2 linked regions of the Drosophila melanogaster genome follow. The protein of the gene in region 1 interacts with the protein of each later gene in a pairwise test. Each region holds a gene or a part of one and is shown on either strand. Other genes may lie near its edges.

The links. The genes of interacting proteins can lie anywhere in the genome.
Region 2: the proteins of CG18528 (region 1) and CG11791 interact in a two-hybrid assay, tested with the Drosophila melanogaster proteins (one large-scale study listed by BioGRID).

The regions. Positions count from the first base shown.
Region 1 is NT_033777.3:24,355,203-24,364,108, reverse strand, and holds CG18528 (uncharacterized protein), read left to right. Parts: upstream 1-3,964; 5' UTR 3,965-4,042; coding exon 4,043-4,231; intron 4,232-4,549; coding exon 4,550-4,855; intron 4,856-4,911; coding exon 4,912-5,898; 3' UTR 5,899-6,014; downstream 6,015-8,906. Other genes in the region: CG17784 (uncharacterized protein), read left to right, coding at 1-28; CG33340 (uncharacterized protein), read right to left, coding at 146-835; CG33339 (uncharacterized protein), read right to left, coding at 1,043-1,172, 1,235-1,351, 1,400-1,582, 1,638-1,709, 1,768-1,812, 1,868-2,262; CG5762 (uncharacterized protein), read left to right, coding at 2,558-2,971, 3,030-3,218; Golgin84 (Golgin-84), read left to right, coding at 6,233-7,568, 7,624-7,838; CG6454 (uncharacterized protein), read right to left, coding at 8,331-8,393, 8,456-8,728, 8,785-8,906.
Region 2 is NT_033777.3:25,048,577-25,053,574, forward strand, and holds CG11791 (uncharacterized protein), read left to right. Parts: upstream 1-1,666; 5' UTR 1,667-2,587; coding exon 2,588-2,980; intron 2,981-3,906; coding exon 3,907-4,059; 3' UTR 4,060-4,498; downstream 4,499-4,998. Other genes in the region: CG11790 (uncharacterized protein), read left to right, coding at 1-27, 89-214, 696-858.

The DNA.
Region 1 (8,906 bases):
AAATATGGCCAAGAATCCGTTTCAGTGATCACACATCCTGCATCCGTGCTGGCACTCAGGGCAAACATTTTAATCTCCTCATACAAATAAAAAATGTATATGCTGTAGAATCGTAAAAGCGCTTTATATAATCAGGGCCACGGCTCTACTTCTTGGCAATGGCTCGTCGTCGGAACTCGGCCCAAATCTCACAGAGCAGCGGTTTCGCCAGACAATTGCACTCCTTCAGTGGCGGGGCATCGGGCTTGAGACGTCGGCACTCGGAGAAAGATGGATATGGCGTCCGGGGCTTCACACACGGCAGGGGTCCTCGTTCCCTTCTGCATGAGGGTGGTCGGCGACCATCGCGATGGCAGCGACGGGCCAGACGGGGACACAGATCCTCCGACGGATCCGGACAAGGCTGCGGGCAGGCGGTCGATGGCTTCGCCGATGGCTTTCGCCGCTTGATAGGAGCCGGCTTAGCCTTGGCGAAACAGCAAATCTTCTTGGGCTTAATCTGGATGGGAGGGCAGGCCACCCATGTCTGCCAGTACTTCCGCTTGGCCTTGTCCGACTCGACGTAGTAGATATCGTCGAAGCGCGGATTGAACGGACAGGCGGTGTCGTCGGGATCACAGAATGGGTTCAGCCACATGGACTGTGCCTTGACCATCTTCCTCTTCTTCTTGGGCGGAGCCTGCAGATTGGGTTTGCCGCAGGGGAACTTGGTCAACACCTTCGGGCACCGGCTCGGCCCCTTCTTTTCACAACCGGATGCAAATCGCACACAGCTGTTAACCGCACCAAAAATTGGACGGAACAGTACTCGGGAGGGATTAACACTCAGTGCCATTTTTGAGCTCTGGAATTTTGAATTTTTAACCGAAATATATTTTCCAAAAGGTTTGGGCCGGAAATTTAGATGGAATTTTGCGAACACGAAACTGGGAGGCTAGAGACCTATCCAGCTCGAGAACGGAATGAGAACTGATGACTCTGGGTTATCCGAAATCACAGTACAACGACTTGGGGCGGAAGTTCGATTCTCGGCTCACTATGTTTACAATTTTGCACCACTTTGGGTAAGGAAGTCTAGAACATTGTAGGGACAACTTGGGGCGTAGAATCGGGCACAGTCCTGGTTATCCATGCGATGCCTGTACTTATCATCGGCCACCTCTTCGGGAACTCTGAAGTATAGTTTATTATGGTTTTAATGGCATTATATATGACAATGAATTATTTTACTTACGTCAGCACAATTCGCATTAGATCCTCCATGAGGAATCCCTGATCTTGACCTGCATTTAACTTGGCCCTTAGTTCACACATGGCTCTCTTGATACAAGACCTTAGGTCCAACTGAAAACTATTAATAGGTTCTTTTAAATTATTCTGTGGATCACTTAAGACTTACACTTTTCCCATGGCCTCGAGTTGATCGAAAATCTCTCTGCGTTCTCTGTATCCACGATGTAACTTCCAACTAGGCACTTGATCCCAGGATTCATAAACTTCTTCCTCCGGTGGATATGAGTTTCTCTGATTTGCAGACAAGCTCCATGGGCTATGATAGAATGAGGCCCTATTCAATGAGGGTCTGAAATATTTTAAAGCCACTTTAGGGTATTTCAAAATGATTAATCTTATATTACCTCGATGTATAAAACTCTTTCCTGCGATTAGTGGGCGAGGATGAATGCCATGAAGCTTGGGGAAATGAATCCCTAGTAGGACATTGAACTTGTAATTATTACCTCTTGAAAGTAATTCATAATAATTTACCTCGATGTTGCTTGGTAGAATGGAACTCTATGATTGTTAGCAGGACTAAAACTTAAAATTTCGAATTTATTTCTTTAACGGTTAAATATATATACTTTACCTTTCGTAATGAGCATTTCTATATGGATCCGCATAGTATGGATAATAGCTTTCAGGTCTTTTGCTATATGACCAATCATACCGGCGTTTTGGCGTTGACATTGGCTTTGGCTTCATCTTCTTTAGGATCTTGGGCTGCCAACCCTCAATGGTGTCGGGAACCGGAACGTACATATCAAACTCCAAGCTGTACTGAAGGCCACTTGGTCGTCCGCCCAAAATTAGTTTGGTTAGGGCGGCGGTCAGGAGAAGGGATGCCTTGTCGGGAAAAACCAAAGCACGCACCCGTCGCGATAGAATGCGATTCTCCAAAGAGGAGCCCACCAGATGGGTTTGATTCCCAATAGCCGCCCTAATGGCTCCGATCAACAGAAGTACCAAAATCGTAGACCTCATGCCGCCACTCTGAGAACTCAACTGATCTGTGTGACAGATACTAGTCGTGGAAAATTAACGCCAGGTGAACAGTGCTAATTAAGAAAGGTGAGCCGACTTACAGCATCAGGTGTGCCTTGATTCGTACGCACCTTACATGTCACCTCGATTTGTTGGGAGCGGATTCAGTTCGTTACACGCCGCCTCTTTGGAAGCAGGCTACATTTTGGCATTCCAATACTAAAACTTACACAATTCCCTAATTCTTTTAATAAAATTTCTAAAACTGTAAAAAAAAAAAAAATATCTTCCGAGAATGGTTAACATCCACGGTGGCACTCGGATGATGGTGAACCGTTGCATCGAGCTCCTCCGTGCGCGGATCGAATGCGCCTCAACGCGTCACATTGCCAGGCGTTCCCAGCGGCCCAGAGTGGGCAGCCAATACCTGCCAGACGATCAGATACTCAGGGAGCGGGAGAAAGCGGATGTGTACAAGAAGAACAAGCGACGCTCCATGTGGGAGCAGGACGAGGGCCACGGACGCATCTCGGTCGGGGACGATCAGGAACGCTTCGATAACGAGCAGTACCATCCGCGCGAACTGGAGAAGCGCAAGTACGAGTGCACCTGGGTTAATTTCCCGGACAGTGTGGCGACCAAACGAAATCGTAGACGGGACTTTCTGGAGTCGATGGAAACTGAGGCTCCTCGACGCCGCCGAGCCCAGGTGCCTATTTTTTGGAATATTTCAAACAAAAATCAATTTGAAATAATCTTTTTTGCAGGAAGAAAGACCGAGTACGGCAAAGCCATGTGACGACGAGGCCCGTGCCTTTATCAACCAATGGGACACCAATGCGGCGATGATCCAACGCAACAAATTTGCTCGTGCCACCGATAGCTGTCCACCACCCATTGTATCTCTCCGGTTGTCAAACGCCTACAGCACCCGAAAACGTCAGTTCTTATTCTAAACCGTTTATATTTGACAGTTGTATTCGCATCAGAAATTCTAGCAATCGCTCATTCTTGTAGCCTGATCAAATTGATAGTGTCGAAGGCATCAGATTTTAAAGCGTCCAAATCCGAAAATGTAACTGTAAAAATGTAACACATCTGCACTAGATGTGATATTTGTTACTAATAAAATATTTAAGTGTATTTGTCTTCGTCAAAAGCGGAGAGGGAATTTGAGAAGTTCATCACAGCTTGGCTAAAATTGGTCTCAGAGACTTAATAAGAACTATTTCTTACAGCTTTTTACCAATGCTTATTATTTTTATCAACTTTTGGTGAAATAAAAAAAAAAATTTTTTTTTTTCTATTTTCACATTTTTTATAAGGGGTAACAACGTCTATTTTTTTCAAAAAACGTCAAAAAAATAAAATTACCAAATTTGAACTCCAACCAATTAAGGGCTTAATTACAAGTTCATCGAGATATGTCATTCGATATTTTCCAACGCTTTTGACAAAAAATCTGATAATTATTTGACAAAAAATTACAAAAACTACTTCTGTCTAATTGAATAAAAGTGAATTCTTTCTATCCAAATAACAAAGAAATAAATAAAAAACGTTCCCATGTTTCAAATCCCATATTTCGGTCAAAATGGTTTGTGTCGGGACTGGAGATTTACCCAAGCTTACCACCGCTCCATAATTGTTTACGCACAATTCTTTAGTATATATCTCCGAGTGGAATGATATATTTTTGTAACGGCCATTCCGCGGTCACACTTAATATCACGTTCAATTGTTTATTATTCGGCGGTTGGGATTTAATTGTTTTTCGGCGATGGCGCTTCTCAGAAACGCGTCCCAGAGCTTCTTGGGCAGTTTCCGGCGCTTTGCCAGCAGCGGATGCACCATCTACAGCCTCAGTTCCGGTCATGTCAAGTGCGGTGTGTCCGTGATCCGTGTCTCCGGGCCGCAAACAAAGAAGGCCCTCCGAGCAATTGTTGCAAACAAAGAATACGAGCCAAAGGCAAGTCAATCGATATAAACGTTTATTATTCCATATATGAGGGGTCGTGACCTGTGCAGTGTATAGTTTTGTTTTCTAGTATCCAAAATATATGTATGCAAATGAAAAGACCTGTTGCTTATTTATATACATTTTGGGAGATGTATCCTGTATAAAAATAAACAAATTTCTCCTAACTTACATATAATTGACTAAATAAATTGAATAATTTCGTGAACTGCTTAATTTGTTATAATTGGCAAGCTGCCAGGTTTTAAGACGAGAGACCTCTATGATAGTGAAACTTATAGTTCCCTTTATAAATACTTTTCCATATAGGCTCGTCAGGCGTATCTGAAATCCTTCTACCATCCCGCCAGCAAAGAGATGATTGACCGTGGGCTCTTACTTTGGTTTCCGGGACCGGCTTCTTTCACTGGCGAGGATTCCTGCGAGTTTCAGGTACACGGGTCCCTGGCAGTCATTGCGGCCATGTTGGATGCTCTGGGAAAAGTGGATGGATTGCGGCCGGCGGAGCCGGGAGAGTTCACAAAGAGAGCGTTCTTTGGTGGCAAACTGGATTTGACAGAGGTGGAGGGATTGGCCGATCTTATCCATGCTGAAACGGAGGCGCAAAGAAAGCAGGTAGACAGTGGACTTAGGGTCTCATAAATTTTGTTTCAAGTCTCTTCTTTCTCCAGGCACTGCTACAAAGCACTGGAGCACTGGCTCGACTCTACGACAACTGGCGCCGTCGACTTATTCGCTGTGCTGCCCATTTGGAGGCCTACATAGACTTCGCCGAAGAGGAGCAAATCGAAGGCGGCATCATCCTGCAACTCGGCAAAGAACTAAAGGCGGTAAAGCGTGAGATTCGCGAGCATTTGAGTGACCAGCGGCAGGGAGAGCTCCTCCGCGACGGAGTCCGCACTGTGATCATTGGAGCACCCAATGTTGGCAAGAGTAGTCTGCTCAATCTCCTCTGCCAGCGATCCGTGTCCATAGTGACGGATCAGGCGGGCACCACAAGGGATATTATAGAAACAATGCACAATTTCGGAGGATACCCGGTGGTATTTTCCGACACAGCCGGATTACGCCGATATACTACGGATAGTATAGAGCAGGAGGGAATGCAGAGAGCCAAGAATTGTCTAGTCCAATCTGATTTGATATTGCTCCTAGCAGAAGCCAAGAACATTGCACAGCTGACGCACGACGACGCAGTTGCTCCGTTTGTAGATAGCTATCTGGGCGAGTTGGATATACCTCTGGACATGTGCTCAGGGAAACGTCTGCAATTGGTGGCCAATAAAACCGACACTTTGACGGATGAGGAGCATCAGCAGCTGGACAAGCTGTCCAACGTGTTAGCCATATCATGCCATAAGCCCGATAAGATGCCCGTGTTTCTGGGATCACTGGAGAAGCAGCTGCAAGAACTGTGCGGAGAACCGCGGGCGGAGAATCCACGCATCACAAACACACGCTACCGTCAGCAACTGGAGCGCTGCATTGAGAACATTGATATTTTTCTACGAGATTACAGACCCGACGTTTACCCGGACATGGCCATAGCCGCCTCCAAGCTGCGCAACTCCGTGCGCTGCATCGAACGCATCACCGGACACATCAGCTGCGAAGATATACTCGACGTGGTCTTCAAGGACTTTTGCATTGGAAAGTGAAGAGATAGTTTATAGTTGTGAGTTGCGAAGATTACACTGCCCATGTTGAGTATTGAATAAAATATTCATTTGTACCCTAGAGTTTTGATAAGCATAATAAATTAACATTTCTGCACGGATAAGAAAGATTGGAATTACATTTATTTCTAAAACCAATCCTTACATTTTCATATAAATATTTTTTTGATCAGAAAAAAGGTTTTTCAAAATTACGTTACTTTTAGAGTGACCTTAACTTTGGAGTTGACCATTCCGCAGTCGATAGCGATATGGGCACACAGTGTGATATTGTTTACGTGTTTTACTCGAAGAGATTTGTTTTTCTTAGAAAAATATGTCATCCTGGATCACAGGACTGGCGGACAAGGCCGAAAACATTTTGAACAAGCTGGACCAAAATGCGGCAACGGCCCTGCAGACAGAGAACGCCACAGGTTCAGCGGATCCCATGCGTAGGAGCATGACGAGCAGCACCCAATCACTGTCCACATCCCTGAAGTCCACTCTGTCGCCAGTGCGGCGCTCGGGGGCCAATAGCTCATCAAGTGTAAAAAGCGATGGCGGGGTCTCCGTGGTCACTAAGGACATGCGCCAAAAGATGACCACGTCGGCCAGTTTCTCCAACAGTCCCGACATATCCGCCAACTCAATGGACACAAATGAATTGGCTGCCTTCAAGATCGCCCTGAATGAAATCACGGCCGAAAGAGATGAACTGCGTCTGCGCTTGGAAGATCTTAATAACGAAACCGAAAAGTTTGATCTGCATCAACACACCCAGGTGCTGGAAGCTCTGGTTAAAAGTCTGTCCGAAGAGCGGGACAAGGCGGTTCATGACTACAATGAGGCCCAGGCAGCTAACATGGCGTATGTGCACTCCATCTCCGAACTGGAAACCAATCTGGCCAAGTTGCAGCAGGAATACATAAGCGCCGCTCACAAATTGCAAATGCAAACAAAGGAAACGGAGCAGCAGCGCCAGGAGCTTCAGGAATACCGTATCAAGGCTCAGCGAGCTCTGCAAGCAAAGGATTCCCTCATCGCAGAGTTGAAGGCGAAGCCCACGGAGGAGGGCGCAGATCCAAACCTGGTGTCCAAGGACAGTGAAACGCGTTTTCTGCAAATTGAACACGAGTCACTTAAGCAAGAACTAGAGCATGCCAACGAGGAACTGCAAAAGGCGCGCTTGCAGCTGGACGATTACGTTTCCCAGGAAAGACAACGACAGGTGGAACTAAGCTCTGCCCGCCAACGCGAGGAAACACTAGCAAAGGAGTTGCGACAGGCAAGGGAACACAGTGTGACCTCCGAATCCGATCAGCGAGTGCTCACGCAGGAACTGGCCTCACTGCGGCAGCAACTTAGTAACCAAATGGCTGCTGCCGCCACTCGACTCCAGGAGCGGGAGCAGCAGCTTCAGCAGATGCGTCAGCGATTGAGCGAGGAAGCCAACACGGGAGCCAAGAGCGATTACGAGACTCGGCTAAAGGCTTTAACCCAATCACTGGTCGAACGTCAAAGTCTTCTGGAAAGAGTTACGAGTGAGAGAAATGCCCTGCGACTACAGCACGAAAAGGCACAGACGCAGCTACAGCAAAACATGCACTTGGTGGAAATGGAGAGCCAAAGGGGCAGCTCCCGCCATACTATGCTCAACAGCACAGATGATGGTAAGTCTAACATTCTGCGAGTACCAGAAATTACATAAATATGAGTTCTACCTAGTCAAAGCACAATTCCCGCTTCTCATGCATCCAAGTCCATTCGATAATCGTGTGGCACGACGCTTCAAGCGAGCCCTTCGCCAGGCGGACTCCATGGGTATTCGGGTGGGAACGTTTCTGCGTCGCTATCCCATGATGCGGGTCTCTGTGATCGTCTACGTGGCCCTACTACATCTGTGGGTCATGTTTGTGCTGCTCTCCACTACACCAAACTAATCGAATCAAATACATTTAGTTGAGCAATTGTTGTATTTCCATAATATTGTATGTATTGTATTTTACGCGCCAAAATTGGATATCTAGTGGTACGAGTATATGTGTCATGTTTGTGGTTGCAACAATTGTATATATCGATATTATACTTGTGTCTCGCACTCGTTCTAAATTCAATATTCAATAAACATCAACTATGTACAGAAATTGCAATTGATTTAACGCTAAAAACATCCAGCAAACAAGTAACAAGACCGAAAAAATTAGCACTACTAAGTTAGGATTAGAACGATTCCTCACAGTTCAAATATTGCATAAAGAATCCATCTACAGATGCTGTAAAATTGTTAAGTAAACGTGAATTAGTTTAACTTCAGTTTAACTCCAGTTGCTGGGCAGAGCTGATAGTTCTAGCTAAGCGGAAGAAAATAGAGAGTATACGCTTTTGGGACGATTCGCGTAAAACATGCGCTATATGCCCCGCAAGTTTTTATATCAGTCATCGGCATGGTAGCTCACATAGACAGCATCGCCTCCGATGCTAATCAGGCACTGGCCCTAAGAATACAAGATTTCAGTATAAAAACTTTAAGGTAAGTAGATCATTGTGTTTGCCTTACCTGATTCTTGTGCTGATTATCGAACAACATAAGTTCGGTGATGTAAAAAGAGACCATGGCATTTCCGCCCAGCGAAGCGATGTGTGCTCTCACCACAGCCAACAGTTCGGTAATGAAGCCATGGACAAATCCGCTGATGCCACCATTTTCCCGGATCGACGTGCTCTCCCGAATAAAGAAAAAGTTTAGGTTGCCCAAATATTTATCTATACGACCACCAGGTATGAAACTTAGTGGCGTCACATCCACTCCATAACGATCTCGCAGCGGAAACTGTCAAGGAAATATAATATTAATATAAAGACATCATTAATATTTAATGTTCTTACATAACGGCTACGTTGAACAGATCCAACGTTCAATGGCTTAACTCCGGTTGAAGGCAATCCCGAAACGAGATTGTTAAGACGTGATGGTGAAGTTTTTCGCATTTTGAATGAGCTCATTCCGA
Region 2 (4,998 bases), 690 kb from region 1:
AGTATTGGAAGCACCGGCTTTTATTTTGTAAGCCCTGATCGCTTTGGTTGTGTCCAAGAATAGATTATATAAATTATAATCATTACAGCTTGAGGCAAGGAAAGATGTACAAATATTCAGCCAAGCAATACAGTCCCGAAGCCTTTGTCCAGTTTGCTGAGAAGGGATATACCCAGAGCCATCCTCAACCAGTGCCCGCAATCCCAAGTGCCGTGTAAGTATTCCTCTCATAGCTAAAATGATTTTAAATTCATCCATCGATCGAATTTTAAACTCAAAGTCCGATTATGACCTTTTTATAGGGATTTGTGAGAAACTGATACATGTGTTTAGTAAGTGAGCCAAGATAAAACTTGTAAACCTATTAATAATTACTATTAGTTAACAAATACTGATTCTTTGTCCCCGGTACAAGGTTGCATATAACGCCAGTTTGAGGGTATTCAACATAGACACTGATTCCACCATCGAGCATAAAACAATTGTTAATATCACTCCGTTGATTAATATCGAACCAAATGTTAATCGTAACCGTTGTATATTATCCAGTTTGTACATAAACAATATTACATTAATCAATTATACCCTGGTTAAAACAGTTCCTGGTTTGAGAAGATCGAATTTAATACTACACAACGTTTATCCTAATAACCAATGATCAAATGAGCTAATGTTTTAACTTTCGTGCTTTTCAGAAACGAATTTTTGGGCCCACTGCAAAGTTATTTTGCAGCTGAAAACATAACATCGCTGGCGACTTTGAGTATTTTCGCCTTAGTTGCTCTCTTATTCGTTGGCAAAAAGGTTGCCAAAATATTCAGTTCAGAGCCTGCGAAAACAAAAAATAAGTCGAAATAAAACTAATATAAAGACTAAATGAAACACGACGTTTTTGAATTAGTCGAGTGACAACAATTAGCGGAAAAGTGGGCGCGAAAATTCAACTGCTGCAATTCCTAACGCCACAAAAACTGGCAGCTCTTTTGGCTGGAACGGTGGAAGCGGAACATGCAAATATGGATACCTAATATCGCAAAAGATCCATTGTTCACTGGCGCACAACGCTGACAATACCTATATCCTATCTCTTGATTGCTTTCAATTAATTAGCGGGCAAGCAAACAAAAATATTTAGATCGGCCCATTTAGCAACTGGGCTCGGAGTTCAGGGGCTAACTCGGCTAGCAATCTAGCCAATTGCTTAAGTGCGATGATAGTTTGGCGTGGAACGCTCAAATTAAAGCAGCGTTTCGTTTCGTAAAGCGTGAGATTCGCGATCGTGTTGTTAGGCAGTTTTTTTTTATTTGTTTCGCAGCGGTCATCGTTGGCGTAAGCGTATTCCTCGGAACCTGGATTTTTTGTATCTTGGGGTAAATCACTCAAAACACGCTATTTATACACCCGCTGATACCCAAATACACGCAAATGTACCCGAATTGGTGTTGGTTAAAACACAGTGCTCGCTAAATGTCAGCTGACGTCAGAAGGTCTTGAAAAAAGAGCGAGGAGTACACACGAACACAAAAACGATTACGAATACGAGTGGGACGTATATATGTGTAGTGCGGTATATCGATATCGGTAGATCGAGAGAGAACACTACACTCACACGACACTCACATTCGCATTCGCAGCGACTTTCGATTGAGATTTTGGTTGGCTGTGGCTGTAGTCAAGCGAGCGCACATGAGTCAGATTCGTAGCTTTTGTTTTGTTCAGTCGAGTGCGAGTTCTGTGCGATTCAGATACTCGCTGCCATCCGAACCGAACTGAAGTCCAAGTCGAATCTAATGTGCGTACTTACGTGTAGAACAGTTCAAGAAAATGTGCAGACATTCAACGGTCGCATTTGTGTGGATGTGTGGTTGTAGTGAAGAGTGCCAGCATTAATCGCATTTTTCCCCTGCACGAGCACCACGACTAGAAAATACTCGACACGTCTGTCTGTTTTTCTGCTTTATTGCTTCTACGCTATTCTGCTTTTCCGTTTCGGTTTTCCTCCGCTTGGCCTAGTGAAAAACAACAAATTTGATTATATTGTGTAAGTTATGTCTAGCATTGAAAAGATGAAAAGTGTCATTCCTATAAATACACCACCACCTCGGGAAAGGCACTCGCAATAGAGAAACTGGCCAAAACCCAACAACAAACATAACAAACAAAGGAACCGCTGAATATAACCAAACTTCGGAGTAGGGGCTGAGCTAAAAAGTATAGTGCGCAGCCATCATGACTAACTCACCACCCAAAACGCCAGCCCAATTACAGAAAATCGATATTCTAGTCGCGCTGTAACGCTGCGTAGCTGCTAAATACACAGCTCCCTACCTGCAAACAACCCGAATACAAAAAAAAAAAAAAGAAAACTACGAATAACAAAACAGTCAGGCGAGGCATTAGTATACCGAAAAGCGAAAACCACTTCCGCCAATGGTCGAAATCGCCGTCGCCATCTCGACATTTAGCTAGCCATATAGCAAATGTCTTTACATATCATACCGATATAATAGAAACCATCTGTGATACGCGTGTACCTTAAAAATGAACTAACTTTGCACCGATCGAGGGTATCACTGGGAAATTAACGATGCGTCTTGTCCGCAGTAAATGTTGTCAACGTGATGTTTCTGTAACCGACTATCTGAACACCCCGCATCCGCACCAGCACCATCCATCGTCCACCGACGTCCAGCACACCAAAAACATATTTACACGCTACTGGGACGACCACATAAGAATGAAGGAATCGAGCGAGGGCAAAACCAGGGCCAAGGCCCCATCCGCTGCCGCATCCGCATCCACCACACCATCGTCATCTTCAGCACCTGCCAAACAAACCCAGAGCGTTACGTTCGTGAGGACCAGTAATGCACCAGCTGTTTGCGACGCCAACGGGAACGGGAATGGGTGCTCCATCCAAACGGAGTGGACATTCCCCCCAAAGGCGCCCACACCGCACATCTACAATTGCCTGAGTCCGGTAAGTCCACACTGAAAGTAAAAGCGTTGGAATATCATGTAAGTTAGGATCAGATACAACTTTATAATATGGTATATAATATATTTTCGAGCGAATTAAGATTGTAAAGAGATAGCGTATATGGCGTAGTTTATTTTTTGCTTCGCCTGCATAGTTCCTGTGTAATAGATAGACCACCCACCCCATTCGCCCATTCGCCCATTCGACAAGTTTCCTCCGCAGTGCAGATTATCATGACGTAACGATTATTAGATACTCCACGGGCGACCGTCGTCTGTACGCAGTATAGTTAGTTCCTAGTCTTTGTGCTCGTGTGTTGGCGGAAGATAAAGGGGAAACAAATTGTTTGCACTTCAGCAATTGCCATTTAAGTCATTAGTATGTATGGCGGTTTGAACCTATGTACATACGGACATTTGGCAATATATTATAGGCTTTTGCTTGGGCACGCTCGGCCATAAATAGATCTATACCGAGGAATTTCAAAGATAAGATTAGAGAATCGCATATACAAGCGCAGGTCAGCTGGGGTTCATAAATAACAAATTCACTCGGATCGTATGTTTATAATTAAGGAAGGGCTAAATCACTTTTGTTTTCCGGTTTTCACTTTCTCGCTTGCACAATTGCACATCTCACAGATATTCATAAAACGTACAAGGACTTTTTGGCGAAACACTTACATTACTAAATTCAGGAAACTCCCCGATTCAATGAATCAACAAAAGTAACTTGACACGTTCTAGAAATTTTGCAGTTTTGAAATATGCATTAGCGATAAGGCAAAAACTAGAATATGACTCACAATCAGCGTGTAACTAAGTAAATATTATACATAATAAGTGAATGTAGAGATATTAATTTATTTCGGAGTTTCTAAGATTTTACCAAATTTTATACTTATAAAATACTCTTCATTCTTCCAGGACATGATGGCCTCAAGTGATAAGAGCAGCTTTAAGGGATTTCGCAAGCAATTCAGTGGACGGTTCAAGCGCCTAGTTACTCGAAAAGTGGAACACACTCCAGTGATACCTCCAGAATTGAAGCCGCAACTAAAAACAATATACGTTTACTAACTTAAGATGTAACGACAATTGCAAGCACAAGTGTTTTCCCCACTATGTACGTATGCACCTCATCGGTTGGCGTATACATATGTGTATGTAAATGGCAGGAAACATTAGTGATAGGAAAAGCAAGATAAACTAAGTAATCATAATACCATTCTGATTGACAATTTTAAGTATTCAGCGTATTCGTGCGTATTGTTAGGCTCAATAAAAAAACGAACATTGCAAAGACAGACGAGGTTTAAAATGAATTGGAACAAAAGTCACGGGGTTCATGAAATACATACATATCGAGAAAGAACATAACATAAATGTTCAAATATCTGCTGGTAGTACCGATACGAATCTATGTATTTGCTTCTTTTTCAAATAAGTTAAAGGAACCTACTATCCTACCTATACCTACATGTTCATTAATTACGATTAAAGAAATAGTTTAATTACCAAACTGCTGAAATAATTATTGTGTTGGTAGTTTCTGTGTGAAGGATGAAATGGAAAGCAATTTAACGAGACACATGGGCACATTATCTCGGTCTGCTTCAATCGATGAACCAAGGAGCTTTTCCATATCGAGCAACATACAACTGAAACCACAAGCCATGCCAACATTCAAACTTAGTGGAACGAAGAACTGGCTGCTATCATGCGAAAAGAATTTAGCCACTAAAATGGTGCTGCGATAAGATTGAGGTAAGCAAAGTGGATATGCCACGTTGTGCGGACTGAGAGAAGCGATGGCAACCACAAAATGTGCTATCTTAGGAAAACATACCCCGAAATCCGCAGTAAGAACTCCGTTTTAATGGTTCACTTATCATATGTATTCGAAATTAACTAGACAATTAAATAAAATGCTTACTTTATTCCAATCTAAACGTACGTACACACAAACGCGTCTATATATATACATAGTCAAGTACTCGTATATATAGCTCCACCGAC